4 linked regions of the Stegostoma tigrinum genome follow. The protein of the gene in region 4 interacts with the protein of the main gene of each other region in a biochemical or structural test. Links are inferred from orthologs where the notes say so. Each region holds a gene or a part of one and is shown on either strand. Other genes may lie near its edges.

Evidence for each region.
Region 1: the proteins of pin1 (region 4) and pkma form a complex in vitro, tested with the Homo sapiens proteins (2 studies listed by BioGRID, with this or other methods). The link is inferred for Stegostoma tigrinum from reciprocal best matches to the Homo sapiens genes PIN1 and PKM.
Region 2: the proteins of pin1 (region 4) and wee1 form a complex in vitro, tested with the Homo sapiens proteins (2 studies listed by BioGRID, with this or other methods). The link is inferred for Stegostoma tigrinum from reciprocal best matches to the Homo sapiens genes PIN1 and WEE1.
Region 3: the proteins of pin1 (region 4) and M-phase inducer phosphatase 1-B-like interact in a test that uses a peptide from one of them, tested with the Homo sapiens proteins (2 studies listed by BioGRID, with this or other methods). The link is inferred for Stegostoma tigrinum from reciprocal best matches to the Homo sapiens genes PIN1 and CDC25C.

Annotation. Positions count from the first base shown.
Region 1 is NC_081389.1:14,446,865-14,453,880, forward strand, and holds the start of pkma (pyruvate kinase PKM), read right to left. Parts: upstream 3,011-7,016; 5' UTR 2,996-3,010; coding exon 2,967-2,995; intron 1-2,966. UniProt on the Homo sapiens protein: Catalyzes the final rate-limiting step of glycolysis by mediating the transfer of a phosphoryl group from phosphoenolpyruvate (PEP) to ADP, generating ATP.
Region 2 is NC_081370.1:27,234,953-27,242,959, reverse strand, and holds the start of wee1 (wee1-like protein kinase), read left to right. Parts: upstream 1-4,991; 5' UTR 4,992-5,254; coding exon 5,255-5,722; intron 5,723-8,007. UniProt on the Homo sapiens protein: Acts as a negative regulator of entry into mitosis (G2 to M transition) by protecting the nucleus from cytoplasmically activated cyclin B1-complexed CDK1 before the onset of mitosis by mediating phosphorylation of CDK1 on 'Tyr-15'.
Region 3 is NC_081366.1:76,176,983-76,184,868, reverse strand, and holds the start of M-phase inducer phosphatase 1-B-like, read right to left. Parts: upstream 3,016-7,886; 5' UTR 2,241-3,015; intron 1-2,240. UniProt on the Homo sapiens protein: Functions as a dosage-dependent inducer in mitotic control. Tyrosine protein phosphatase required for progression of the cell cycle. When phosphorylated, highly effective in activating G2 cells into prophase.
Region 4 is NC_081388.1:20,180,515-20,188,364, reverse strand, and holds the start of pin1 (peptidyl-prolyl cis-trans isomerase NIMA-interacting 1), read left to right. Parts: upstream 1-4,833; 5' UTR 4,834-4,848; coding exon 4,849-5,197; intron 5,198-7,850. UniProt on the Homo sapiens protein: Peptidyl-prolyl cis/trans isomerase (PPIase) that binds to and isomerizes specific phosphorylated Ser/Thr-Pro (pSer/Thr-Pro) motifs.

The sequences.
Region 1 (7,016 bases), on a different chromosome or scaffold from region 4:
TTCAACTGACTGCCAATTACAAACTAAATTAGATTTGAATGAAACAAGTATTAGCCATAGAGTCTCAGAGATATACAGCATGGAAACAGACCCTTCAGTCCAACTCATCCATGCCGACAAGATATCCTAAATTAATCTAATCCCATTTGCCAGCATTTGGCCCATATCTCTTTAAACCCTTCTTATTCTTATACCCACCCAGACGCCTTTTAAATGTTGGAATTGTGCCAACTTCAACCACTTCCGCAGGTAGTTCATTCCATACAAGCACCAATCTCTGCATGAAAAGATTACCCTTTAGGTCCCTTTTAAATCTTTCCCGTCTCACCTTAAACCTACGTCTTCTAAGTTTGGACTCCCCTACTCTAGGCAAAAGACCTTGACTATTCACCCTAACCATGCTCCTCCTGTTTATGTAAATTTTCTAAAGGTCACCCCCTCAGCTTCCAATGGTCCAGAGAAAACAGCCCCAGTTTATTCAGCGTCTCCCTATTGTTCAAACCCTCCAACCCTGGCAACACCCTTGTAAATCTTTTCTGCACACTTTCAAGTTTCACAACATCCTTCTTGTAGCAGGGAGGCCGGAAAAGAACACAATATTCCAAAAGTGGCCCAACAAATGCCCTGTACAGCCGCAATATGATGATATTTTCTTTTCCAAAAATTGTGCACACACTCAGTCCTAGTGACCAGAATTATTTTTTTTCCTTATTTTGATGGAATCTGTGCAATATTGGCAATGCCAGTGTTGGTTGCCCACAAGTAATTGCCTTTTGAGGGCTGTTAAGATTACTGTGTGTTTTGGAGTCATACATGAACCAGACCAGGTTAGGATGGCAGGCTTCGTTCTAGTTAGGTATTTGTGACAACTTATGGCAGTTTAATGGTCACTATCACTGAGACTATCTTTCATTTCAGTTTCTTTTCAAACAAATAAGATTACATTGGGTTACTGGTCCAGTGACATTACCACCGCCTCTCTCTGATGTGCATTTCACCAATTTCAGAAGGTAGAGAGAAACATTTTAATGAGACAAGACCACAACTGAATTGATATGATAACAAGGTGTGGAGCTGGATGAACACAGCAGGCCAGGCAGCATCTTGGCCTGCTGTGTTCATCCAGCTCCACACTTTGTTATCTTGGATTCTCCAGCATCTGCAGTTCCCATTATCTCTGAATTGATATGATGCTTTGTTTCAAAGGCAAGAAGTGAATGTTCAGAGTGTCATTCAAAATCAAACCTCACCTTGATTCTACTAAATACAGAAGTTTCTTCAAGAAAAACAAAATACATCATCTCTATTATCAAGCTCACTTAGTCCTTCTTGCTCAATGTTGCTGCTTCTGACCTCAGGCTGGGTAAATTTGCCTCCATAAAGCAATGTTTCCGACTAAGAATGAGCAGTTGAGCTTGATGGGTTTGAAGGATAGGAAGAGGGTGTATATGTTGGGGTTGTTTTCTCTGGACCATTGGAAGCTGAGGGGTGACCTTGTGGAAGTTTACATAATCATGAGGAGCATGGATAGGGCAATTAGTCAAGGTCTTTTTCCTAGTGTAGGGGAGTCCAAAACTAGAGGGCATAGGTTTAAGGTGAGAGGGGAAAGATTTAAAAGGGACCTAAGGAGCAACATTTTCACACAGTTTTACTCAACATTTTCTCAAGCTGCAATAAAACATTCTGCCACTGTATTCAAGGGTAAGGGTGCCCCACACAATTTCCTCCCTTCAATCAATGTCATTAACAATCTCCACCATCTGGTCATTACAATATAGTTGTTTGTGGGGTCTTGCTGTGCCCAGGGTTGGAGGGTTTGACCTATATGGATAAGCTGAATAAGAAGGGGCTATTTTCCCTGGAGCGTCTCAGGCTGAGAGGGTGACCTTATCGAGGCTTATACAGTCATGAGAGGCATAGGTAGAGTGAATAATCAAGGTCTTTTCCCCAGGGTAGGGAGGTCCAAAACTAGACGGCATTGGTTTAACGTGAGAGGCGAAAGATTTAAAAGGGACATAAGGGGCAAACTTTTCATGTTGAGAGTGGTACGTGAATGGAATAAGCTGCCAAAGGAGGTGGTGAAGACTGGTACAATTAGAACACTTAAACAACATCTGGATGGTGCATGAATAGAAGGCGTTAGAAGGATACGGGCACAATGCTGGCAAATGGGAGTAGATTAATTTAGGATATCTGGTTGGCACGGATGAGTTTGACCGAAGGGTCTGTTTCCATGCCGTACCTCTCTATGACTCCACATTGATTGCCATAGTTCCTATGTTGCAACAGAGGTTGCACTTCAGAAGCGCTTCATTGGTTTTAAAGCATATCAGGATAGTCTCGGTTATGGACAACTCCATACAAATGCAAGTCCATCTTTTCTACTCTTTGCTTTTAGCTCTTGCCTTTTGTCTGTCCAAGAATTACTGGGTTGCTAAAACCTACTGCACAAATCACAACACTTCTGGTCAGCTGTTAGCTCTTGTTCGTTCAATCATTTCACTGTTTGTGTTTTCTCTGACACATAACCTAAGGACTCAAAACTGTCATGAACACTAGAGGCACGTGGGAAAAATATGTATTTATAAAATCCACCTGACCCTTGTAAGAGGATAATGGTTTAACGATTAACCGAACACCATTATCCAGATGAAATAAATCTGTGCTTGTAATAATTTCCTAAATTTGAAGAACGATCAGTAGATACATATTGAAAATGTCTTTTTAAAATATATTGTCTAATATAAAAGTATAACATGACATTTCATAAGAATGAGCCATAAGATCTGAGAAGCAAATATTTGCCAATTAGAATTTATGTTGAAACAAACCTTTAAAGGGAATAAAAAATACTTTTTATATATTACAACAAAAGCTCAGCTTTTGAATTGTCACACATTAACATGGTACAGATATTTTGAAAAGGATATACATAGTCACGTTTACTGCTTTAGGCTTGTACTTACACTTTGGTATTACTTGCAGCATTGCCCATCACAGATGACCAGTTAGAGTAACTCTGCAATTTTTAAAGCTTTTGAAATATTAGTCACTTTTATACAGGAGAAAACCTCAAGATTCGGGCTGCTCTAACACCCATTAGAGATACATGAGGGCGGGGGAAACATTTGATTGGCATGCCTGTACAGCCAATAATTGTCAAAATCTTCAAGACTCTTGACTGACATTTTAAGCCACCAATAGATGGGCACAACCATTACAACCCTGCCCAATAAATAGGGTCAGAACTAGGAATTGCTAGAAAAAACTCAGTAGGTTTGTCAGTGTTTGTGAAGGGGAAATCTGAGTTAATGGTTCAGGTTAGTGATCCTTCCTCAGAATGCAACAAACAGGGTGCCTTGTCAGGTACATAGGCAATATTGGGGTTTTATACCAATTAGAATTGTATAGATACAAAAACAGAGTTTGCTAAAGAAACTCAGGAGGACTGGCAGCATTTATGGAGAGAAAGAACTGTTAATGTTTCAAATCCAATGACCCTTCAGAATGTTCTGGAATTGTGCAAAATAGACCTTAAGTAATAAAAACAGAAATTGCTGGAAAAGCTCAGTGGGTTGGTAGCATCTGTGGAGGAAAAATCAGAGTTAATGTTTCAGGTTGTGTGATCATTCCTCAGAACCTAAGTAATGACTGCAGGTTTGAATCAGCCCTGGTTAGTTGGGGGGGAAAAAAGTAATGTTACAATGATGTCAGGCCCTGTTTGCTGCTTCTGCTGGTGACTCATGCTGCAGGTTATGTTTAAAATTTGTTGATGGGATTATGTACGTGGGTGTTTGTTGCCTTTGAAATGAGGGAGCCATTTCAGAGGATGGTTCATAATAAATCACATTTCCATAGGTTTGGAGTAACTTGCACAAGGTGGTGGTAGTAGTAGCAGATTTCTTTCCTGAAAGAATCAGGTGGGCTTTGTTTTTTAATAACATTTGATGGTTGTTACAGTTGTTGCCATTATTTGACAATCATTCAATTGTAGGTATTAATAGTTAAATTTAGTTAAATAATTAATTTTGCAAGCTGCTGTGGTGGAAATTGAGCCTGTGACTTTAGAACATTAACCTCAATCTTTGGATTGATACTTCACTGATTATTACCACTACATCAGGCAATCACCTGAAGGTTGAAAGGGCTATGGGGACAGTGCAGGGAAGTGGAGTTGAAATGCCCATCAGCCATGATTTAAATGGTGGAGTGGGCTTGATGGGCCGAATGGCCTTACTTCCACTCCTATGTCTTTATGGTCTTATGAAATTGGTAGTGCTTACTATGTTTTCATTTCCCTGCTCTCTGTCAAACTCCATCTACCTTCAGGAGCCTCTGTTGTGTTTTTGATTTCTGATTATATTTTCTGTTCTTTATATTTTTCTTTTGAATACTAATCTGACTGGATTGGCCATTTGACCACCAGTCTTCAGCAAATTGATTTTGATAAATCAGCTTTGGTTTAATCACACTCTTAATATTTTAAACTATCAGAGAACTCAGGAATGACATTTGTTTAATGTGGTACAGGGGTGTAAACTTTCTAGCTGTCTGATCAAACTGTGATGAGGCTTTCAGAGCAAAATCTGCAACACTAGAAGAGAGAGTTTATTGGCAACTTGAGCTAAAAGTAGTCAAAACAAGTCAAAAGAAAAACTTGATCAACTTTCATGATTTTAGGATGCCCCAAAGGAACATACAGGCTAGGGTGAATTTTTGAAGAGCTGTTCCAGTAGAAGAGATGTGACAGCCAATTTGTACATAGGAAGCTCCACATGTAGCAGTTAAGGGCCTGGGTCAGGATTGAAACTGATAAAATCATAGAATCCTGACAGTGCATAAGCAGGCCATTTAACCCATCAGGTCTGCACTGACCCTCCCACCCATCTCACCACCCCCCCACCCCTTCCCTGTCTCTATAAACCCTATTTCGTATGGCTGAACCACCTAACCTGCACACCCCCAGACACTATGGGCAAATTAGCGTGGCCAATCCACCTAACCTGCACATCTTTGAATGGGTAGAATCTTTCAGTTTAACTTTAAATTAATGGAGTGTGATCATTATAAATCTAACAAGAACTTGGGATGGGCCTGTTTAATTTAATAGTTAAAAAATGGCAATTTCAAAAGTGCAGTGATCTCTTAGTGTGATTGTAAATGATTTACTCATGTTCCTAGACTGGGGCAAAACCCTAAAAAGTGAGAGAACTCGATGTGAAGCTGGATGAACACAACAGGCCAAGCAACATCAGAGAAGCAGGAAAGTTTGACATTTCTTCTGAAGGGTCTCAACCCGAAACGTCAAACTTTCCTGCTCCTCTGCTGCTTGGCTTGCTGCGTTCATCCAGCTTCACATCGTGTTATCTCAGATTCTCCAGCATCAGCAGTTCCTACTATCCTTAAAAATTAGGAATTGCTGAAGTGAGAGATAGTATTAAAAGTTTTTCATCTTACATTCATCAGGATAAAAGGACAATATTCAAGCCTTACAACTTATTTCGAATGTCCCTGTTGCTTGGGGAACCTCGAGTTACCCTACTGTTTTCCCCATGGTAACATTTTTGGCTAATGTCAATGTGCTGATTAATTAATTAACACCCCTGTCTCATCAGGTGTAAATTGTCATGATTATTCAAATTTTGGCATTCTTGCATTTGTTCTGATGGGTAAAACATGGAAAATAATGGTAACCTGTTTCTCTTTACAGCAAGATTTAAGGTTGATGCACCAAGAAACTCTGTGACCTGAAAGTCTTCTGACTCAAAGATTAAACATTACCAATGAGCTAGCCTGACACTTAGCTCACACACAGATGCGTGCACTAAATGTGGAGACAGGCATTCTCAGGGTCAAGTGACTCTCTCTCCAAATTCAACAATGAGAAAGAAAAAATAATAGCTCCAATCAGCAAGTTGAGAGCTGACCAGCGAGCTGCTTGTGAATTACTAACCTTCATACTGAAATCTCACCTCCACCAGAAAGAGCCAGACAATCAGAACCTGATGGCTTCTTGGCACTAGACAGCATCTCTCAAGGGCTATGCTTTAGGGGTTTAAATGGCAAGAAGTTATGTGCTTTGATTTCAGATCTGAGTATACCCACCATCCTGTGTTACCATCCTGTGTTTCCACCCTCCCCACCAAGACTGAGGCAAATAGAGTCTCTCTCCCCAGCCCAGAAGGAGGCCGGAGACGAAACCTGACATTCTTCTCATCTGCTGGAGAGGCAGATAATCAATCTAGTGGTGACACTTAACTGATCACATAAAAGCCTTCATTGTTTTTTGAGAAGGTTTGGGCGGCACGGTGGCTCAGTGGTTAGCACTGCTGCCTCACAGCGCCAGGGACCTGGGCTCAATTCCAGCCTTAGGTGACTATCTGTGTGGGGTTTGCACATTCTCCCCGTGTCTGTGTAGGTTTCCTCAAGGTGCTCGGGTTTCCTCCCACAGTCCAAAGATGTGCAGGGTAGGTGGATTGGCCATGCTAAATTGCCCATCGTGTTCAGGGAGGTGTAGATTAGGTGGGTTATAGGGGGTTGGGTCGAGGTGGGATGCTCTGAGGGTTGGTGTGGACTTGTTGCCACACTAGGGATTCTATGTTCTATATTGTAGCTCGGGCCACGGATGAGGTTGTAGGCTTGCTCGCCGAGCTGGTGTGTTTGATTGCTGATGTTTCAATATGCTGCTGGGTAACATCATCCGTGCACCTCTGGTGAAGCGTTGGTGTTCTGTCTTGGTTATTATTTGTATGCTTCAGTTTGCTGGGTTCGTCGGTGTTACTTCCGGTCAAGTTTTTCAGTGATTTGTACATCGGATCCAGTTCAATGTGTTTGTTGATGGGGTTGCATTTGGAATGCCAGGCCTTCAGGAATTCCCTGGCGTGTCTCTGTTTGACTTGTGATGTTATGGATGTATTGTCCTAGTCAGATGTATGTCTTTCTTTGACTATGTGTATTGAGGCCGTTAAGTCTTGTTTTGTGAGCAGTACAGGTAGATCATAGCATACAAAGTGCAT
Region 2 (8,007 bases), on a different chromosome or scaffold from region 4:
AGTTCCCAGTCCTGGTCACCATGCAGATCTATTTCTGCAATGGCACTTACATGATCATGATCTATGATAATGGGAACTGCAGATGCTGGAGAATCCAAGATAATAAAATGTGAGGCTGGATGAACACAGCAGGCCCAGCAGCATCTCAGGAGCACAAAAGCTGATGTTTCGGGCCTAGACCCTTCATCAGAGAGGGGGATGGGGTGAGGGTTCTGGAATAAATAGGGAGAGAGGGGGAGGCGGACTGAAGATGGTGAGAAAAGAAGATAGGTGGAGAGGAGAGTATAGGTGGGGAGATAGGGAGGGGACAGGTCAAGGAGGTGGGATGAGGTTAGTAGGTAGGAGATGGAGGTGCGGCTTGGGGTGGGAGGAAGGGATGGGTGAGAGGAAGAACAGGTTAGGGAGGCAGAGACAGGTTGGACTGCTTTTGGGATGCAGTGGGTGGAGGGGAAGAGCTGGGCTGGTTGTGTGGTGCAGTGGGGGGAGGGGACGAACTGGGCTGGTTTTGGGATGCGGTGGGGGAAGGGGAGATTTTGAAGCTGGTGAAGTCCACATTGATACCATTGGGCTGCAGGGTTCCCAAGCGGAATATGAGCTGCTGTTCCTGCAACCTTCGGGTGGCATCATTGTGGCACTGCAGGAGGCCCATGATGGACATGTCATCTAAAGAATGGGAGGGGGAGTGGAAATGGTTTGCGACTGGGAGATGCACTTGTTTATTGCGAACCGAGCGGAGGTGTTCTGCAAAGCGGTCCCCAAGCCTCCGCTTGGTTTCCCCACTGTAGAAGAAGCCACACCGGGTACAGTGGAGAGCTTTGAACTAAACAGTAGAGGGAAAAGAGACCATGTGAGTGGAAGTGAAATTAATCAAGGGGAAACAATGGGGTAATAATCATCAAAGTATGGCAGAAAGGAAACATAGAAAATAGGAGAAAGAGTAGGCCATTTCACCTTTTGAGACTGCTCTGCCATTCAGTAAGGTCATGCCTGGTCGTTAAACTCAATACCTGTTCCCATTTTCTCCTCATACCATTTCATCCTTTTAAGCCCTGAGAATGATATTTGACTCCATCTTGAAAACAGTTAATGATTGCCCTCAACCACTTTCTGTAGCAGAGATTTCCAAAGGCTCACTATTCAGTGTGAAGAAATTTCTCCTCATCTCAGGACTAACTGGCCTACGCTGTATTCTTAAGAGTGACCTGGAACAGCACTTCACATTCCACCTGGAACCCTACAACACAATGGTCTCAATGTGGACCTTACTAGCTTCAAACTTTTCCCACCCCCAACCTCAACCCAAGACCAGCAACAACCCCCATCCCTGTCTCCTTGACCTGTCTGTCTTCTCTCACAACCTATCTGCTCCTCCTGCCTCAATGACCGACCCCTACCCTGATTTCCTACCTATACTCACCTTTACTAGTTTCCTCCCTGCCTCTGTGACCTGTCCGTCTTCTCTCCCACCTATTTGCTCCACTATCCACCTTCTATGACCACCCCACCTCTCTCTATTTATTTCAGAGCCACCTTCTGCTCCCCCATTTCTGAATAAGGGTACAGATGCGAAACGTCAGCTTTCCTGCTCCTCTGATGCTGCCTGGCCTGCTGTGTTCTTCCAGCTCCACTTGTTATCTCAGACTCCAGCATCGGCAGTTCCTACTATCCCTGGTTCTGGACTCCCTAGTCATCAGGAACATCCTTCCTGTGTATATTCTGTATCATCCTTTTGGAATATGATGGGGTTTCTATATCTACGTCATTCTTCTAAATGCTGGTTGTTCCCTTAAATTGGGATTCTTGTGAATTGCCCTGATGAATGCAAGATTAAAAGCTTAATTTTTTTTTCACAATACTCAAGTTCTGTACTACTGCAGAACAACTTATGAGCATTCTTTGTGGAAGTAATTAGCAAGGTCAATAAAAGGACACTAGTAGGTGGCATTTACTTTGAGTTTCAAAGGTATTTGATTCGGTGCTACATCAAAGATTACACACAAAGAGCACAAAGTATAATGAGTAACATATTAGCATGGATAAAGGCTTAGTTCGCTAACAGGAAGCATTAGTATGGATAAATGGGATCATTATTGAATTGGCAAGCTATTACAAATAAAGTGCCACAGGGAACAATAGTTAGTTCTCAACTATTTATAATCCATATCAATAACTTGGAAGAAGGGACCCAATGCATGCTAACTGAATTTGCTGATGATATCAGGCAAGTAAGTTGTCACAAGGACATATGGAACCTGCAGAGGGATATAGATAAGTGAGTAAGTACAAATTTGATCAATGAAGTATAATACAGGAATATGTAAATGTATTCACTTTGACAGGAAGAATAGAAAAGCAGCATATTATTTAAATGAAGGAAGATTGCAAAATTCCAGTTGTACAGAGGAATCTGGGTGTCTTGGTAATGTATCTTGTAGGTGTGGTAAATGATTAGGAAGTCAAACTGAATGTTTTCATTTACTTGAGAGGGAATGGAATACAAAAATAAGTTAGTGTTACTGGAGCTGTACTGATCCTTGGTGAGACCACATCTGGGGATTTACGTTCAGTTTTAGTTTTTTGATCCGAGAAAAATCATAACTGCATTTAAAACAGTTCAGCAAAGATCCATTCAACTCATTCCTGAGATGAAGGGTACATCTTATGAAGAAAGGTTGAACATGTTGAGCTTACACCCATTGACATTTCGTAGAATCAGAAGTGATCCAGTTGAAACATGTAAGATTCTGAGGGGGTCAGTCTTGATATTGTAAATAATGGATGTTTCCTCTTGGGTAAATACAAATATGGGACATCATTTAAAAATAAGCCTCTATTTTAAGATGGAGATGAGTTTGTTTTTTCTCAGAGTGTGTTGCTATTATGTGGATCTCTTTCCCCAGAAAGTAGTGTCATTAAATGTATTCAAAATTGTGTTAGATAGATTTTGATAGACAAGGAGTCACTGTTCTGGAGGGCAGTCACGAAAGTGGAGTTGAGACCACAACCAAATTGGTTATGGTCTTTATTGAGTGGCAGAGTAGGCTCAGCAATTCAAAAGACAAATGCTAGCCTAACCTCAAGAGGTGGCAGTGAACGGGATGGATTTGGTGGTTAGAGAACAGTTTTTGGCCAGTACTCATAAACTATAGCTCAAACCTTTCAATATTTATTTGAAGGAAATCACTACTGCTCCAGTCTAGATGTTGGATGAACAGCATGAAAAGTCTGAAAGCAGTCAAGAGGTGGTGATGAGGTATTTCAGATTCCATTTGGAAGCTGATGTGCTTTTAGATGATTTTGCTGACGATTAGTATGAAACAGGGTTACCAGAATTATGATATTGTCAAAAATGAACTAAATTGTGATTCAATTATGCAATGTTAATTAAAATAACCACAACTTGAGAGCAGTGTGGGTTATTTTGTCTTGACGTGATCAGATGGGGAAAAGATCTCCTAGATGTCAGCAAAATAATGAAGAGTTTCTATCAGATGGATAGCTAAACTGTTTCCATTCATGGTCCAGAGTAACAGGGAATAAATATGAAGTTGCCTTTAACGGAGCAGAGAAAGGGGCAATATCTTTAAACAGGAAGTAATTGAAGTATTGGATTGGCTTCTGTATGGAGTGAGTGATGCAGATAATAATAATGCTGTCAACTCTGGTTGTATTTATCGATTTATCACTTGACCCCCTTTCCTGACTTCACTTTGAACCTTGGACAACACAGTGTGGAGCTGGAGGAACACAGCAAGCCAGGCAGCATCAGAGGAGCAGGAAAGTTGACTTTCGGGTCAGGACCCTTCTTCAGAAGACCTGCTGTGTTGCTCCAGTTCCATACCGTGTTCTGACTCCAATGTCTGCAGTTCTTGCTATCTCCTTCACACTGAACTTTGTTTATTTATGCTACATACACACAGCCCTTACCATATATTGAAAAGGGAATTTTTTTTGTTACCCAACTGATTTAATGATTGATTCAGTAATAGAGCCTTGTCCCTCATGTCTAATATTTTTCACTGCTAAGAAATGACATGCTCAAAAAAGGGATAAAAACACAATTTCTTTTTAGTTTAACTTTGGGCTGCCTGGAGCAATGTTTTGGAGATTAATTTCTTGGTAGATTCCAGTACAATACTGAAGGATTGATGTCTAAAGACCTCTTCATTAGAGAGCAGATGGGGTAGAATGTTAAGAGGTAATTTATTGACACTATGTTTCGTGTCAAAGATGCTGCTTGGCCTGCTGTGTTCATCCAGCCCACACTTTGTTGTCTTGGATCCTCCAGCATCTGCAGTTCCCATTATCTCTATAGTCACAGATCGGCTTCTGTGTTGCTTCGCCGAACGTTCAGAAGAAAACTGAAAGATCTAAGTTAATATATCTCTAAAAGTTTATGCCCCAGGGTTTCAGTTGCACAATGTTAACATTTGTTCTGATTTAATGTTTGGTGAGAGATTATCCAGTCATAAACACAATTCACCGTCAGTGAGTCATTGTTTGGAAATAAAGACGATTTTTTTAATCTGCTTCTGCCAAGTTTGCAGAAAGGGTCAAAACAGAGATGAGAATACAAATGCACAGGGAAACCAATATGTGATTAACGTTGAAACAACAAGCAGTAAGTCTTGTCAGTGAAGTGTTGATTAGATTTAAAACATTTAATCAGATTTAATGCAATTATTCAATGAAGTTGCTCTAAAATTAACTTGTAAATCTTGAAAAAAACTAGTTTCATTTGATTGAAAACTGCATTTATTGCTAATGGAGGAAAAGCTTTACATACATGTTTAAGAATGCTGTTAATAAAGACCTGCATGAAATATGTTCAATACAACAAAAGAGAGAGAGGTTGAATAAGGTCAGGGGAAAGTTTGGCGCGAAAATGACGCGAGCGGCTAGACTGCGCGCGCAGCCGCAGGTCTGCGGATCATGTGACCGTGTTTTTGAAAACAGGAGAGCGCTCGTGGTTGGTGGAATTCGTCACGTGACTAACGGTCGCGGGAAACCTATCGTGTTGTGGACGGCGCGAGGGGCGGATAGCTCGGTTTCTATCAGGACCGGACCGGGACAGGCCGAGCGGACAGCCAGGTTTTCATCAGGACCGTACCAGGCCGGGCTGACAGCGGGGTTTCCGTCAGGACCGGGCCAGGCTGAGCAAGTAGCGGGGTCTCCGTCACGACCCGGACAGGCCGAGCGGGCAGCGGGGTCTCCGTCAGGACCGGGCCGGATAGTGACTTTGAGTCTTCTGGCAATGAGTTTCCGCCGAGTGTGCATGAGAGCTGGTACCAGCCCCACTACGGCCTCGGGATTCCCTGTACAAAAACTCAGTTTTGCAGGGAGCGACGAGGAGGATGGTGGAAACAGCACCGAGGACTCGGCCTTCCAGGAGTCGCCGGACCCCGACCGCAAGTACGGTGGGATCTCTGAGCTCGGCCAGTGCGCAGAGGAGCTGGAGCTGGGGAACCTGAGCTGGGAGGATGGTTTCGTGGGCAGCCCGTCTCCGCTCAAAAGCCGACGGGATTACCGTGACCGTCGGGACTTGGAGGAATCTTCCAGTTCTCCGATCCGGGAAAGCGGCGACCGGGAAGAGTGCAGTTCTCCAATCCGAGAGGGAGGGGACCAGGAGGAGTGCAGCTCCCCGATCCCGGACTGTCCCGATACACCGCCACATAAAACACTCAGAAAACTGCGGCTCTTCGACACGCCCCACACCCCCAAGGTAAGGATGCCGCACATGTCACACCACCATTAACTGCCAGGGTTTTAAAAAAACCTTTCAATGTTATACTTTTAACCAGGGTGCGATCTAGGTGCTAGTAAAGTAGGACATTCTAGGGTTTGAATTGTTTAACCCGGTGAGAGGGAGGTGGGGTCTATCCCTCAGACCCTTTGAACAGTTTTAGAATTAGCTACCAAGCGCTTAACGGATCTCCGCCCTTTCTAATATTTATGTCCAAATGTGTGTTTTTTCACTTGATTTTCTCGAATACAGTAGTAACTGTTTTGACTTTAGCAATGAGATTGATATTGTTCTGGGCCCTGAGTGGTACAACATCAGGTTTGGGCATCTTTTCTGACTGCACGTTTCTCAGCTGCAACCGGTGGTAACTGTAATGATCAGCACGGTAGCCAGGCTCTTTTTCGTGAGCAACGGGAACTTGGTATATTTAAAATTGTAATTCACTTTTTCTAATTAATCTCTTGATCTAAGTAATGATTATTTATAGTTAAAGAGCACTAGGATTTTGAGATCCAGGTTCATTGATGTAGAAGTGCCAGTGTTGGACTGGGGTGGACAAGGTCAGAAACCACCCAAAACCAGGTTAGAGTCCAACAGGTTTATTTCAAAGCATAAGCTTTTGGAGCTTCACTTCTCCTTCAGGTAATAGTGAGAGAGGTAGTATCAAACGCAGTATTTATAAGATCAAAGATTCACACCATTGAGGATCTACTAAACACACCTAAGATGCTGTTAAATCTTGAATCAGTTGATTGATCAATATTTATATGTGAATACCTAAAACAAGTCATGATTCTCAGAGAACCTAAGGTTTTTTCAGTACCGAAAAAGTGACATTTTAGGTCAGATAGTGCGTGTTGGTTGGTGAGACCTTGTTTAGAATCTGTGTTTTAGTTTGGAGTTAAGCTGGTTTTATTTCTGAAGTAGGAATGTGTGAAAAGTCAATATGACTGTCAATAAGTTGTATTTTCTTGAGCAAAATAGAATGTATCTGCAAATAGATGTGTGTGTCGGGATGAAGATGTGGAGATTAAAGATTTAACAGCATCTTAAGGTTGTTTAGTACCTCAATGTTGTGACCCTTTGATCTTTTACTTATAAATCCTGTATCTGATACTACCTCTCATTAACACCAGAAGAAGGACTGAGGCTCTGAAAGCTTGTGTTTTCAAATAAGCCAGTTGGGCTATTACCTGGTGCTGAGATTTCTGACCAAATTAACTGAGGTATGGCTTTCATATAATCTGTTCATCACTCCTATCGGACCAAGATCAACCTAACGTGCAGTATAGGTATTTCATAGTAGGAATAAGTGAATCTGGATGTCAGCAATGGTTATCTCGTATGGCGGCATTAAATGTTAAGGAGTGTTTCTAGTCTCTTATAGTAGCTGCAAATATTTAAGAACTGAAAACAGAAAATCAATAAAAACCGAAAGAACTGTAGATGCCGCAAACCAGGAATAAAAAGTTGCTGGAAAAAGCTCCGATAACAAGGCATAGAGCTGGATGAACACAGGCCAAGCAGCTTCAGAGGAGCAGGAAGGCTGACATTTCGGAAAATCAACATCTGAGGTTCTTTTAAATATTGGAAAAGCTTTTTGTTTTGGGACAATTTTGTTCCAGTGGTTTTGTGCTAGTATTAGAATTAATTTGCAGAATGACTTTAAAAGTGACATATATGAATTTTGACATAGAAACAAAGTTGCTGGAAAAGCTCAGTAGGTCTGGCAGCATCTGTGAAGGAAAAGAAAGTTAATAACTGTGGAGGAGTCCGATGACCCTTCCTCAGTTCTTTTAACTCTGTTTCCTCCTCCACAGGTGCTACCACATCTGCTGAGTTTTTCCAGCAGTAGGTAGTAAGATTTCTGAAGGAGGCTCTAGGCCCGAAACAACATCAGCCTTCCTGCTCTTCTGATGCTGCTTGGCCTGCTGTGTTCACCCAGCTCTACACCTTGTTATCTGAGATTTTCCAGCAACTTTGTTTTTGATCCTGGTTTGCGGCATCCACTGTTCTTTCAGTTTTTATTACGCATTTTGGCTGTGGGACCTGTTGGGTTTTTTGGATTGTTTCCCTGCTGTCATGTTGTTACTACCAAAGTTGAACTTTTAAAAATACATTTTCTATGTGGTGATTTATTGTTATGTAGAGTTGTATTTCCACTAATCCTGAAGTATCACATCTGATATTTGTTTCTGTCTCTCAAGATCAATGCATTTCTTTAAAGATGGCTAGATAGGTGAACTATCCATGATTTATTTTCT
Region 3 (7,886 bases), on a different chromosome or scaffold from region 4:
AGGCGAAGGAATTGGGAAATAGGGGATGGAGTTTTTGCAGGAAGGTGGGTGGGAGGAGGCATATTCTAGGTAGTTGGGGGAGTTGGTGGGCTTGAAATGGACATCGGTTTCTAGGTGGTTGCCCGAGATGGAGACAGAGGTCCAGGAAGGTGACGGATGTGTTGGAGATGGCCCAGGTGAACTTGAAGCTGGGGTGGAACGTGTTGGTGAAGTGGATGAACTGTTCGAGCTCCTCTTGGGAGCACGAGGTGGCGCTGATACAGTCATCAATGTAACAGAGGAAGAGGTGGGGTTAGGGCCAGCGTGGCTGTGGGAGAGGGACTGTTCCACGTAACCTACAAAGAGGCAGGAGGGTCTAGGCTCAAAACATCATCTTTCCTGCTCCCCGATGCCTCTTGGCCTGCTGTGTTCATCCAGCTGTACACATTGTTACCTCAGACTTTAAATTTGATAAGTTTTTGGTATCTAATCGCCTGGTTCAAATTGATTAGCTAAAGGCAAACGCCCATTGTCTTGGTAAAACTACTGCTGGGCCTGCTCACTGTATGGGCTTTTGATGCAAACATTTCACTTCGGGTGCTTTCTGTGCACTTGCAAACTTCCAGGGTTCTGCTCACAGGCATCCATTTTACATCTCTAAGCACAGAAAAAGCACATGATCTTTTAAAGGGACCACGCAATGCCTCCCCCCACCCTCGAATTTTACAAACACCAAATTCCTGCCTCCCAATTCACACGTACTCTATCCAATTTTGCAACATTGATGATCCTTTGTGGACTTACCTATGGGCTGAGATTGACATAACCCCATAAACCCCATTTTCCAGAGGTGAAATAAAAGTGGGATTGACTGGACTACTTCACAGTATTTCCTCAACAGGCCAAACAGCCTCGTCTTGTGTCATACTGAATCAGACTCGAACACTGAGAGCCCACCATTAAATCAGAGCTGCAACTCTCCGCTGGTGTCTAGTTCAATGTTGCAAACTCTGCTCTGCCTTCCCCTCCCACCCTCCGCAAAGCCAGTTTGTTTCCCTAATCCTGTAACTACATGGAGAGCAGCCAATTATTGTTTTGGAGTCGATTCACTGCTGGTTGCAATTAAGTGGGAGCCTAAGATGGCTAGTTGTTTAGAATTCTTATAAATCTGAAGTAAATGCAACATAAAAATCCCCAACATCCTAAAACAAAAGTTGACATCCAGTTGTGCAATAAAAGCATGCACACCCCTCGTACATGGACGACAACAAATACAGCTTGCCCCTGACTAACTCACTTTATCCCAGGTGAGGTTTGAACCACAAGCTTGAGCTCTTTAGGCAATGTGCTTAACTCAAAGGAATCTCCTAGGGTTTGGGGCCAGTTTGTACCAACCAGCCCACTTCTAAAACCATGCAATATGGCGGTACACAGGCACAGGTGATTCAGCCATAGAGCTGTACAGTCTGGAAACAGACCCTGCCGTGCAACGCGCCCACACCAACAGAAAGTAATCCCCTCCCATTTGCCAGCATTTGGCCCATATGCCTCTATACCCTTCCTATTCATGTACCCCTCCAGAAGCTTTTCAAATGCTAGAACTGTACCTGCCTCCACCACTTTCCTCTGGCAGAACTACACTCTGCAGGTCCCTGTTAAATCTTTCCCCAAAACAGTCTAGTTTTGGGCTCTGCCACCCTGGGGAAGAGACCTCGGCTATTCACTATCTCTGGCCCTCATGATTTTATAAACCATGATGAGGTCACCCCTCAGCCTCCAACATTCCAAGGAAAATAGCCCCAGTCTATTCAGCCTCTCCCTATAGCTCAAACCCTCCGACCCTGGCAACATCCTTGTAAATCTTTTCCGAACCCTTTCACGTTTCACAACATCCTTCCAGTAGCAGGGAGACCAGATTGAATGTAATATTCCAAAAGTGGTCTAACCAATGTTCTGTCCAGCTGCAACATGACCTCCTAACCCCTTTACTCAATGCACTGACTATAAAGGCAAGCGTACGAGATGGCTTCTTCGCTATTCTGTCAACCCGCAACTCTACTTTCAAGGAACTACGAAGCTGCACTCTCATGTTGATAGATTACAGTTTAAGTGGTGTGAACTCCTGACAATGGGAGTACTGTAATTTAAAGTTACACCAGCAGATAAGGGAACACAAAACATTAAATATTGGGCAAATCTTATTTTACAGCACATTAAAACCAAAGCTACATAAACATTGGATTCTCAGTGTGATCACTTACCCCTTCAGGATGTTTGAAATGGAGTTCTGAAGTTTCAACACTCTACAGAGGTCCAGGGATTTCTTGTTGGCTCTGACTAGTCACAAAAATGGTGTTGTTTCACCAAAGCTAGGATTGACCAAAGTCAACCCAAGGTGGTAAATCCTACAATATGCACTGGGTAATTTCATTTACAAATAGCAGTATTTGTATCCAGCAGCTGAAGATTTTGGTAAGCCTGTTGTTTCTGCCTGTCCACAACCAAAAAAAAAAATGGATTTTTGTTTCTTTCCACCTTTAAGAAGGGTTAAGAGAAAAGCTTCATTTATGTTTTCTGACAATTCAGAGCAGAGGGTTTCTAACTCTCCCCCCCCACCTTTCCAACTGTCAGCTCCAGAACACAAGGCCTATCATTTCCTTCTCCTCTACTCACCATCTGAAGTCAAGTAAACAAGGTCCTTTCTCTTTCCCAGTAGCAGTTAACAGTGTCTGTCTGTCTGTCTCTGTATACGATCCTGTTGTCTCCCTCACACTCTGTACAAACAGTCTGGCCTGGTCTCTATCTCACTCATGCACTCCCAGCATACAGGGTCTAGGCAATCTAGCTCTCTCCCACTCCTAGTGGAGTTTTTCTTCATGTTTTTCTTCCCAGCATACAGGGTCTAGTCTTTCCCTCCCTTTCTCTTCTTGTATACAGGATCTTAGTCTCTCTCTGTCCCTCATACATACACATAGGTCTCATCTGTCTTCCTTTCTCATTCTGACAGTATTGAATATCCAGTCATCTCCCTCCAGGAATACATAATCTCAATTCTCCCCCCCTCCCTCTCTCTCTCCCCCTCCCCCCAAATACAGTATCAAGTTGCTTTCTCTTTGTTCCTAATGCCACCCTACAGAGACAAGTCTCTCTCACTATCTCTCTCTCTCACTACACAGGACCCAGTCTCTCAGCTTCACCCCAATTACAACAGTACAGATTCCAATCTGCGTGTCTCTTCTCTTACTCTTTTTTCCAGCTTTATGAAATTCAAACCCTCTGTTTTTTTCTCATTCTCTCCTTACGAAACAAGGTCCCAGCGTGCAGGATCTGGTCTCACTCCCTGCCTAACTTCCAGTCACACACGTGTCATCACCCTCTCTCCCGGGCTCAGTTAAACTCTCTGTCTCACCACCAATTCCGAGTCTTCATCTCTCTACTGTCACCCCCAGCAGAGAAAAAAAGAAACTTTGATCTGTCTTTCTTTCGCTCTGTCAATCTCCCCACAGAAGGGATTTGCTCTCCCTCTCTCTAACTACTAACACAGAGACCTTTTCCCTGCCATTCTCCGCTAACTGGAATATAAAAACTCTCTGAGCATTCCCTTCAATCACATTCAGCAGAGCGAGCATGCCTTTCCCTAACTCGCCATCAGTGCCTGCTAGCCCTCCCTGTGCTCCTCTAGCTCCGCCACTTCCGCCTCCAAAGGGATTTTAAATCTGCCGCGCTGACACTGTTACATTATCAGCCAATGGCGTCTCTGTTTCCGGGAGCAGCCAATCACAGACCGCAGCCTGGGTTTGAAGGCTGGGGGAGGGAAGGCTGTTGGCCCGCCTCCCGCTCTGGCCCATTGGTCGTTTCAGGTCGGGCTGTCTGATTGGACCAGTTGACTGTCAATCAAGCCCACGGCCCTTGAAAGCTGCGCTGGGTCCAAGCGTCTGCCTTTGAAATTGCGATGGGACTCGGTTTGTGTTTCCTCCTGTTACACCCTCTCAATAAATCCAGTCCTTTAGAATATGTTGCAGAGCACCAGTGTTATAGGTCTGAAAGCAAGCATGCCAATGGTGTGTTTGAAGGAGCAGTTCAAAAGAGGACATTTGACCCAACCAAACAGTCCCCTACAGTGTGGAAACAGGCCATTCAGCCCAACAACTCCAAAGAGCATCCCACCCGTACCCAGCCCCTACACAATCCCTGCAGCCCTGCATTTCCCACAGCTAATCCACCTAACCTGCAAATCCCTGGATGCTATGGGCAATTTAGCATGGCCAATCCTACACATCTTTGGACTGTGGGAGGAAACCCACACCGATGTGGGGAGAATGTGCAAATTTCACACAATTGCCTGAGGCTAGAATCAAACCCAGGTCCATGGTACTGTGAGGTAGCAGTGCTAACCACTGAACTGCTATGCCATCCCATTGTGTCTGTACCAATTCCCATTAACAGCTACACAACTGATATGAGCCCTGACTTTTCCCTTTCGCAAAATGTTTTCTTTTCAGATTAGATTCCCTTCTGAATCAGCTTTTCCACATGCCTGTACATCTCAGATCCACGAGCCCTGCAAAGAAGCGTTTTCTCCTTGTTACATTTGGGTTCTCTTGCCACAGACTTTATATCAGCAGTTTCTGTTTCCTGAACCTTTGACCAATAAAATCAGTTCCTCCCAACCTGTCCAGATTTTTGAACATCCCCATCAATTCATCCCCCCCAACAACAACAGATCTGACCCCTCTGATCTACCCATGGAAGTTGGTGGAATTTAAAGTGAAATTTGTAAGACTCGGAATGAGTATTAGTAATAATATTAGTAACGGCTTAGTAATGGCAGTTCAAAACAATAATTGATTGTATTTTTCAAAACCCAGGCCATTCAATAATATCCTTTACAGAAGAAAATCTGCTTATGTGCTGTCATCTACATGAGACTTCAGGTACAGTGCAGTGCAGTTGACTGTGAGGTGGCCTCTGAAATGACCCAGAAAGCCGCTTAGTTCAAGACCCATTAAAGATGGGCAACAAATGCTGGGTCTGCCAGCAACCCCCACAAGAATTTTTTAAAATATCCGCGCAGCTGAAATTAGACATCCCCCAAACCATTCCAATGTATCTTTTCTGCATCCTCTCATAGAGTCACGGAGCAAGGAAGCAGATCCTTCGGTCCAGAGTGTCCATGCTGAAGAAGTTACTCTCCTCTCTCCGGACCAACCTAAGGGGATATCCATCTTCAGTCCGCCTCCCCCTCTCTCCCTATTTATTTCAGAATCCTCTCCCCATCCCCCTTTTCTGATGAAGGGTCTAGGCCCGAAACGTCAGCTTTTGTGCTCCTGAGATGCTGCTTGGCCTGCTGTGTTCATCCAGCTCCACACTTTGTTATCTCATAATCCCAAACTAAACTAGTCCCATTTCTAATTTCTTCATGTCCTTCTTAAAGTGTGACTTTTGACTAAGTGCTTTGGGTCTACCACAATGAATGAACTATTCCAAACAAAAACATTACAGTTAATACAGGCAGAATATTTGTTCTTATGCAAAGTTCTGTTAACACTAGATTCATTGAAGTTTCAGAGCAGGCTGCTGTAGCGTCCATTTGGTGCCATAAACATTTGCCAAAGTCTGCATGGACAGTGCATGCTGTCAGTTTGCTGTTTAAAAATTTCCAAAATATATTCTGAACGCCAAAAGTCCTTTTTCTAAAAAATATAAGCGGACAACAGTTTGCGGGTAAAACACCTTCAATGCAAAGAAACATCACAAGATTCGCTCTAATTGTAACAAAATAGGATCCCTGAACAAGAATTCGGGAGATTTGGTAGGGTGAGGGAATCTTGGTGGCGAATTTGAAAGGTTTTTAAATGTAGAGAGGGAGATAGTTCAGTAAATTTATTTCTTATATACCGCTCTATACTGAGAAGAAGTGCGATGTTGAACTTTTCACATTTCTTTATTTTTCTACTTTTTACCAAAGATTTTGGACCTAAGATGGCACTGCGAATGGCAACATTGTAAACTTTTCACTGTACTTCTGCATCCTTCCGCTTGAGTACATGTGACAATGAAACCTAATTCCGAACGCTCTGTTACATACCTTGGGACAAGAATGGGGCTGTTGGAGATTATAGAGATTGGTGGAAAAATACAATGAAGGAACTTATGGATGAGTTCCAGGATGTTTAATGTGAAGATCAGTGTAACTCCAAGCAGAATTTAACACAGGAAAGAGCACATGTGAAGACATGGACCATTTGAAGTCTCTGGAAGCTGGCACAACGCCATGTAAAGAAAATGCTGGAAATATTCAGTAAGTCCAGCGGCACACTGGGGTCATAGTTATAGAGTCACACAACACAGAAACAGACACTTCGATCCAACCAGTCCATGCCAAACATAATCCCAAACTAAACTAGTCCCGCCTACCTGGTCCTGGCCCATATCCCTCTAAACATTTCCAATTTGTATGCTTATCCAAATGTCCTTTAAATGCTGTAACTGTACCCCCATCCACCACTTCCTCAGGAAGACCATTCCACACGTGAACCATCCTCTGTGTAAAAAAGAGTTTCCCATCACATATTTTCATTTGGTTGATGACTTTTCATCTCTGAATCATCCCCAGAATTGAATCTAACGGTACATTTGTGTTTGCATGGGGTGGAGACCTGCTCAAGAAATTGCGCCTTTGGAATTAGAGTGTCGTGGATGTTGTTTATTGTTCTGAAAGGGTTAGTGCTCTACAATGCCTCAAGGTGACAAACAGAGGTTGTGAACGCAGCCCAGTCCATCACACAAACTGACCTTCCATCCATTGACTCTATCTATACTTACCACTGCCTCGGGAAAGCAACTGGCAGCATCAAAGGCCCCTCCCCCACCCCAGTTATAACCTCTTCCCCCTTCTTCCAGCGGGCAGAAGATACAAAAGTTTGGGAACACGTACCAACAGATTCAAGAACAGCTTCTTCCCTGCTGTTATCAGATTCATGAACAGACCTCTCAATTATTTATATAATTTCTTTTTTATCCCTTTAGTAATGCTGTTAGAAAGACTATACATTAACCCGTATGGTGTGTGTCAGCAATCATCAGCTACCTCATCTGAAGAAGATTCAACGTCAGACTTCTGTAATTTCAATCTAATGTTGATCTGGCTTTGTGCACCCCCTGTGCAGTTGTAACCTGTCTGCCTTGCTCTGTCTAAGCATCCCATGATCTGTACGTTCTTATTTGCTATGATCTGCCTGTGCTGCTCGCAAACCACAACTTTTCACTGTACTTAGGCATATGCAACAACAATAAATCAAATCAAATCAAATCAGTCAGGAGACAATGAGGAGAAATAAACAGGGCTTTTTCCAAGTGACAGGCAGCAACCTGTGGGACACCTCAAAGGATCAATGTTTGGAACCAGCTATTCGCAAAATAAATAAATAACCCGCATGAAGAAGCCAAAAGCAACATTTCCAATAACTCAAAGCTGGGTGGGATTGTGAGCTGTGAGGAGGAAGCAAGGAGGCTTAAAGATGATTTAGATAAGTGGAGCAAGTGGACAAACACATGGCAGATACAGTACATGTGTAAACGTGAAGCATTACATTTTGGAGTGTAAAATGCAATGGAGGCATATGATTTAAAAGTTGATATATTGGGAAGTGTGGATGTACAAAGGGATCAGTTTGTCCCTGTACACCAGTCAATGAAAGTAGACAGGCTGCTGAAGCGAGCAATCAGTGAGCCAAATGGCAAACTGGCCTTGATTGAGGGGGAATCACATCCCTACTTGATTTTCAACTTTCATGTCCGTTGCGAAGATGGGTAGAGTACCTGTGAATTGGGAGACAGGAAGTTAGAATTTGGCATTCTTGAAATGCAAGGGGGGAAAGAATTACGTGGTCCCTTTAAAAGATCAT
Region 4 (7,850 bases):
AAGACTGTAATGTTAAGAAATATTGCCATTTTTTTCATACTTTTGGTGATCGCTTTAGTTAGTTACACCTGGTCAGTGATTCTGCAAGTCTTGGAAATGCTATTCCTTTTTAAACCACTTAAGGGTCTGCCTCGCGCTCTCTGCTCTAGATCTGTCTTGTGATTGCTTGCCATCTTCCCTTTCAGATTTCTCTGGCTGTAGTTTTCCATTTATGCTTTTAAATTTTGCTGTTACTGTGACAACCAGGAAGCAGCTGAAGCAATTGGTCTCCAACCCACCCTCTCAAAAGTTGTCATATGTAATGTACTGTTCGAAGTCTTATGTGAGATAAGGTGGTGTTTGTCAGCTGAAGGGAAATGCTGAAATAGGTGTTTGTTGCCTATCAACCCCCCCCCCCCCGAACCATCTCTTCCACTCCATGACCCCCAACACAAATTGAAATTGCTCCCTTCTTTGTGCATACTGGATTTGTCTGACCATGAAATTTGAGAAAACATTCTCTGCCACTTTACTCTGATTTTTATTTGTCTCAGTTGGAGTTTCATCATCATTATGGAGTTGAGTATGGCCAGATCTCCTTTTCCAAGCTACCATCCTACCCCCACCCCCCACTCTCTCCAAATAAGAAAAATCCTGTATTCTGTCTGAGAATTTCGTGGAAGTGAAACTCCACTTTTTTTTTTAAAATTTCCTATTTAGTTGACCAGTTCTTGGAGACTGCAGAAAATGCACATATTTGTAACCTGACCTAGAATTGTGTGGTTTGATGGTACAGAACTTGAGTATTGTTGATAAAAGGCACATTTTGTCGAAGCCCTTTGACTTGCACTCATCAGGACCATGTGCAAGAAATGGTAATGTACAGGATAGACAAATCTATTGTACTGCACAAGAGGAGACTGGCAAACAGTGAGCACAGTGGACTACCTGCATGGCTGATAACTTTCTACATCACTAATTGGTTGCTCCTTTTCTAAAGTTGTTACCTTTCAGATATCCTGCTGAGGACGGATGCTGCCAAGTTCCTACAATTTAAAAAAAATATTCAAACTAAAGTAACTATTGAATGTTTCCCATGTTTCATGACTGCAAGAACCAGTGTGCCAGATTTTACTCTTGGTTGGTCAAACTGCCCTGTGACCTTCATCTTAGAGTAAAATAATGTGTTGGTGATTTTGCTGAATGGTATCTTACGGTCCTTGAAATAATTCTCTTGTACTGGAAATCACAAAGGAAGAATGATTGAACTCTTCAATAATTATCTCTCTTTCAAAGCTACTGACCTGAAACACTGTATCGACTCTGACTCCAGCATTGGCAGTTATTGCTATCTCCAACCTGAAACATTTCCTTATCTCTTCCTCTGCAGGGTCCTGTCTGACCCAAATACGTTCCAGAATTTTCTGTTTTTATTAAAATAGCAGCCTATTTCAGTTGCAATCTTAATCTCGCTTTAATGATTTTAGGACAGTCATCTATAAGCAAATGTATAGACAAGTTTTTTTTTATATTTTGAATTCATTGGCTTAATATTATGACTAATATTGCATGGCTATTCACTCATTTATCTTGTGTATTTCAACTTCAGTTCTTTTAACCTTTTCAACTATTTGCTGAGACGTTTTAAAAGCTCATTGGAAAATTAATTTGACTTCATATCATAAAGCCATGTTTTGCGACTGATGTACCATTGTAAGCAGTTTATAACTTCACTGGTCTCTGTCCTCTTGGTAACAATTTAGACATGTCTCCAGTTTTCAAAGTCCAGATTAAACCAGTACGCCACTGTTGCTATTCAGATTTATTTTTTGCTCTGCCCAGAATGTAACTTATTTTTAAAATGACAAATTGTGGGAATTAAAATAATGGAGGTTGTAATTATTTACATTGCAAGGTGCTCTTTTTCTGTTCAGTGGGCTTGTGTTTCAGTAGCAGAGTTTTATTAGCTATGAATCTAGGCTCTGCATGAAAGTACTCATTCTCCACAAATATTAAAATGATCCCCAGTAAAGCCATGTTGGATTATATGAACACAGGGAATTATCTATTAATGCAGCTGAAATTGCAACCTGGAAGCTTGAGCCAAGCTCCAGTAGCTTTACTATGTTGAATATATCAAAAATTTTAATTTTGTCATGATAAAAGATAACTTGCTTGAAATATATGCTTCATTTTATTGCTGATAATAGACTGGTGATAGACTTTTTTTAACGTAAGCCTGGCTGAGGACTTTATAATTGGTTTTAACATTTTATATGTATCATTTTTCCATGGCCTTGGGTAAAAACATGTAGGTACATTGATAATCTGTTCTCTAAGACTGTCATGGGCTCTTAGATTGCTTAGTAATGGGTATAGTGGAATAATTTCATAGTGTTTGTCTGAATATTGATTTCTGTTATGTGAACTTCAGTTCCTTTGTGTTTTCTCAATTCTTACTTTGTGGCTGTTGTCCAAAAATGTCCAATAGTGCCAGTTTGTTGTTTTCGTGTTTAACAAGTGGAAACTTTGTGTAATCTAGTTTTCACTTAACAGAGAGGAGAAAACACGGAAATCTAGCTTAAACTGAAATCCTGGCACTTCCTTGCTGACAGTACTGTGGTTGCACCTGTACACATGGACTGCAGTAACAAGCCAGCACCACCATCTTGAGGGCATCTTTAGAGATGAGCAGCAAAATTCTGGTTCATCTTGAGATGCTGACCCCATCAATGAGTACAAAAGGAATTACAAAAATAGCAGTCTGCTAAATGTGATTTGTCTCCAGCACTTTCATGGAATTGAAAAGTTGCTGGGAAGGAGTACGTGGTTCAAAAGGTTAAAATGCAATCCAGACTGATTCATAGGGAGTGGGTGATCCTTGGAATTCTCTGTCCCAAAGGGTTTGGTGACTTAGTTATTGAGAGAATCCAAGAGGGATCTGTTATTAAATATATAAAGAGAGATGGTGTTATTGCACAAAAGATCTCTTAACAAGAAGATCAACCATGATCACACTGAATGGCAGAGCATGAGTCCTGCTCCTATTTCATTCATTTATGAGAAAAGTAGCTTGAAAAGTGCAAAAATACACATGACCATGTTTGGACTATGCAGTGAAAATTTTTTAAAAATTCATGATTGGTCCAGAGCTGTTGGAAGCACCACATGATGGCAAGTTGTATTATTGATGTTTATTTAATACTCATTTATTTTAAAGTCTGAAATCCTGGCACATCCTCCCTAAAAGCACCATGTTTGTAACTAAGATAACAAAGTGTGAAGCTGGATGGACACAGCAGGCCAAGCAGCATCTCAGGAGCACAAAAGCTGACGTTTCGGGCCTAGACCCAGACCACAGATTGCTCAGTAACGAAAAGTGGTATAAATCAGAGCAAAGCAACATGTATATAGTTTCATAAAGCATATATTCTAAAACCGTTTTCTTCAGAAAGCCAAGTTCATGATGGTGTCTCTTTTAGATTCAACCTGTAGCTGGTACCATAAAATGGCAGCCTGAAGACAGGGCTCCAAACTAGACACATGCTGTTTTCAGTCCAGCCTTCACAGTTCATCACAACACACACTTTACTGCAGGAAGCAATCTAGATTACCCAAAACCCTTCCATGTAAACAACTTCAGCAACATATCCTTGCTGAACACTTAACACTTGATTTAATTAGATTCAGAACATAGTGTAATGTATTTGTGTCACTTGCAGTCAGGTGAATGTAGGAAGGCAAAGATGTCAGAATAGTGTTATCTTCCAAAAGAAAACATTTGTGCCCCCTTTGCCTTACCAGAGGCCTACATAGCATTTCTAATGATGTACTGAATGCTGAATTTATGTCCTAAAAATGAAATTGTCTAATCTTTCAAATTGTTAAATATGAAGAATGCAGCAAAACAAATTTAGTCAGAAGAATAAGATTCTGTGAATAAGAGGACCATAGTACCAAAAAAAATCTTACACATGTCAAGGAAGCTGTATGTCAAGTTTGAATGTTGTTCTCTCTGTGGTAGTTTGTTCACGTATGTATTGACTGCCCGGATTAAGTTCACAGTTGATTTGTACAGAGGCTGCAGTCTTTACACATGATGGGAGCACACTTTTCTGTGAATGACCTCCAAGACCAACAAAGGGGAAAAAGCACCTCAAGCAGGCACCAAATAAGTCTGTTGACCAACAACAAATATTATGCATTTAAGGTTAGAGTTTCTGTAGTTGTCATGTGTTTTTGTGTTTTTTTTTGGACATGTGGATCTCAGTGTTGCGACAAGTTGTGATAGATAAATCTCTGCTATAAATTCCTAATGATTTTTGTGTAATTTTGTGCTTTTTGAGATGATGGATGCAAAGAAGGTTTGATGCCACAAATGCTGTCTGTCCAGTTAGCCATACTGCAGTTGCTTGTATGCATATGGCAAATGATGGAATAAAGTAAGTTAAGCTATGGTGCCCAGTACTGATGAACATTTTCTTTCAATGTGCTTTTGGGGGTGTGCATTCTGTGGCTTTAGCCAGGGCACAGTGGTAAAACTGTCTTGTCAAGGTCAGGCTCTGTAAGGATGTAGCTGCAATGTCTGGTCTGACACTGAAATTTGAGAGTGCTGCACTGTTGGAAATTAGTGAAACGATTGAATGAAGTTCTAATTCCCCTCGTGACAGTCAATTCTAACATCAAAGAGGGGCTCGTTGGCCGATATTCATCCACCTGGCTGCATCTCTTTTTATAACAAAAAAATCCAGTCCTAATGACTTTTTTTAAGGCCTTTCACATTTCTTTCAAAATGTAGTATTTAAGTTGTTGTAATGTGTGTTTTGTAGTGAAGGATGTTGTAGAAACCCATGTTGATATCCAGTGCCCATGGAACTGCATCTGAGACTTCTGAAGAAATCGGGACAAGGGCTCTGGAGTGGAGCGAGGAAGGAGAAACTATTCAAATCAGGTTTTGCAAGGTGTGTCTTGATTGGTTTGCTTGCATCTCTGATGCCATTTGATATTTCTTTTGCAGGTCGCATTTACTTCTTCAATCATATAACTAATCGGAGTCAGTGGGAGCGACCAAAAGCTGGGGGGAATTACAATTCTGTTGAGCCTGACAAAGTTCGTTGTTCCCACCTGTTAGTGAAGCACAACCAGTCACGCAGGCCTTCTTCGTGGAGACAGGAGGAGATCACACGCAGCAAGGAGGAGGCACTAGAGACATTAAATGGTAAGCTGATAACCAATGCACACCTCAGCAAGAGCACAAAAGCCTCTGTTTGTACTGTTAAGATGTCTTGATGGGTGCAAAAGAGGAGAGCATAAATGTGTTTGAAATAATTACAGAGGCTGGTGTCTTGTGACCAAGTCACCCTTTATTTACATGTGTGCAGTACAAGGGCTCTGAGTCAGTTCCGTGACTGAGGAGACCTTCTGAATCTCCCATTTATATCTGTCAGCCAGGGCTCCCTGATTGCCTCAGGTTAGCAGCCCTAGTCAAGGACCTCATAATCAATGACATTCACCTGGCCCAATTTGTGCTCAGCTTGATTTGGAACATTTTTGAGGTTTTATGACTATAGCAAATTTTTGGGGAAATGTCAGTTGAATGGTATGTCACAAACCCCTTCCCAAGCTGGTTGAGTGAGCCACCCTTAAGAATATATCAGTGTTACTCTGCAAGTAGGCACTTGGAAGGTGTGTGAAAACCTTTGGGGATGATTGATCTTCTAATCTCTTCATCCCCGCTGCCCTCAGTAAAATTCTTGGTATTTGCAAGATCCCCAGTATGTTGATACTAATGAGGCATGGAGCTTGCTGCATATGATTCTAGGTGATGCATTGGATTCATCAATGGTGAGATTTGCATTGCCCTGTTGATTTGAGTGCTGTATGCTTTTCCTTTGTTTTAATATTTCAGAGGAGATTTTTTGCCTTGGAATTGATTCAACACTACAGACATAATAGACTGTCTAGTTTCTGTCCTAAAATGTACCAATATTCTTAGATTAAGGACATGACAGGCAAAAGTGTTTATTCCTGCCATACACAGGTGCTAGTAATTTTGGCATAGCATGAACCCTCTTGTAAACTATTGGGAAAGAAAATGTTTTTGTGTGTCATACATCTAAAGGCAAAGTAGAAATGCACAGGTTAATATCAGAATAGGTAAAGAAAATTTGGGCTCAGACATCTTATTCTTTTGTCAGGAACAGAAGTCTATCTTTAGTGATTATCTTCAGTTGTAAGTTATCTCAGGCAACCAGCTTGTAACTTATGTCCATTTCAAGCCCACCGACTCCCACAGCTACCTAGAATACACTTCCTCCCACCCACCCTCCTGCAAAAATTCCATCCCCTGTTCCCAACTCCTCCGCTTCCGCCGCAGCTGCTCCCACAATGAGGCATTCCACTCCCGCACATCCCAGATGTCCAAGTTCTTCAAGGACCGCAACTGTCCCCCCACAGTGATCGAGAACGCCCTTGACCGCGTCTCCCGTATTTCCTGCAACACATCCCTCACACCCCGCCCCTGCCACAACCGCCCAAAGAGGATCCCCCTCGTTCTCACACACCACCCCACCAACCTCCGGATACAACGCATCATCCTCCGACACTTCCGCCATCTACAATCCGACCCCACCATCCAAGACATTTTTCCATCCCCACCCCTGTCTGCTTTCTGGAGAGACCACTCTCTCCATGACTCCCTTGTTCGTTCCACACTGCCCTCCAACCCCACCACACCCAGCACCTTCCCCTGCAACCGCAGGAAATGCTACACTTGCCCCCACACCTCCTCCCTCACCCCTGTCCCAGTCCCCAAGATGACATTCCACATTAAGCAAAGGTTCACCTGCACATCTGCCAATGTGGTATACTGCATCCACTGTACCCGGTGTGGCTTCCTCTACATTGGGGAAACCAAGCGGAGGCATGGGGACCGCTTTGCAGAACACCTCCGCTCAGTTCGCAACAGACAACTGCACCTTCCAGTCGCAAACCATTTCCACTCCCCCTCCCATTCTTTAGATGACATGTCCATCATGGGCCTCCTGCAATGCCACAATGATGCCACCCGAAGGTTGCAGGAACAGCAACTCATATTCCACCTGGGAACCCTGCAGCCTAATGATATCAATGTGGACTTCACCAGTTTCAAAATCTCCCCTTCCCCCACCGCATCCCTAAACCAGCCCAGATCTTCCTCTCCACCCACTGCATCCCAAAACCAGTCCAACCTGTCTCTGCCTCCCTAACCTGTTCTTCCTCTCACCCATCCCTTCCTCCCACCCCAAGCCGTACCCCCATCTACCTACTAACCTCATCCCACCTCCTTGACCTGTCTGTCTTCCCTGGACTGACCTACCCCCTCCCTACCTCCTCACCTATACTCTCTCCACCTATCTTTTCTCTCCATCTTCGGTCCGCCTCCCCCTCTCTCCCTATTTATTCCAGAACCCTCACCCCATCCCCCTCTTTGATGAAGGGTCTAGGCCCGAAACGTCAGCTTTTGTGCTCCTGAGATGCTGCTTGGCCTGCTGTGTTCATCCAGCCTCACGTTTTATTATCTTCAGTTGTAATTTCTGTTCTCATTTGCTGCCTGACCTCCGTGTTTCCCAGAATTCTGTTCTACTTGCACAGACCGCTTGGGCGATTGCTTATTTTGAGCTAAACCTTCCCGAATGAGTTGATGAAGGTTGAATGGATCATGATTGATGGAAATATTTGGGTGAGATTGCACTGGCACAATATGAAGTGTTGTTAACCTCCCACATGCATAGTTGTTGATTTCATTAATGCTATGTGGAAGAACGGTAGTGTCAAGACTGGCCCTTGCAAATGATATGCCTTTTGTCATGGATACTAAGTTCATGGCAAGG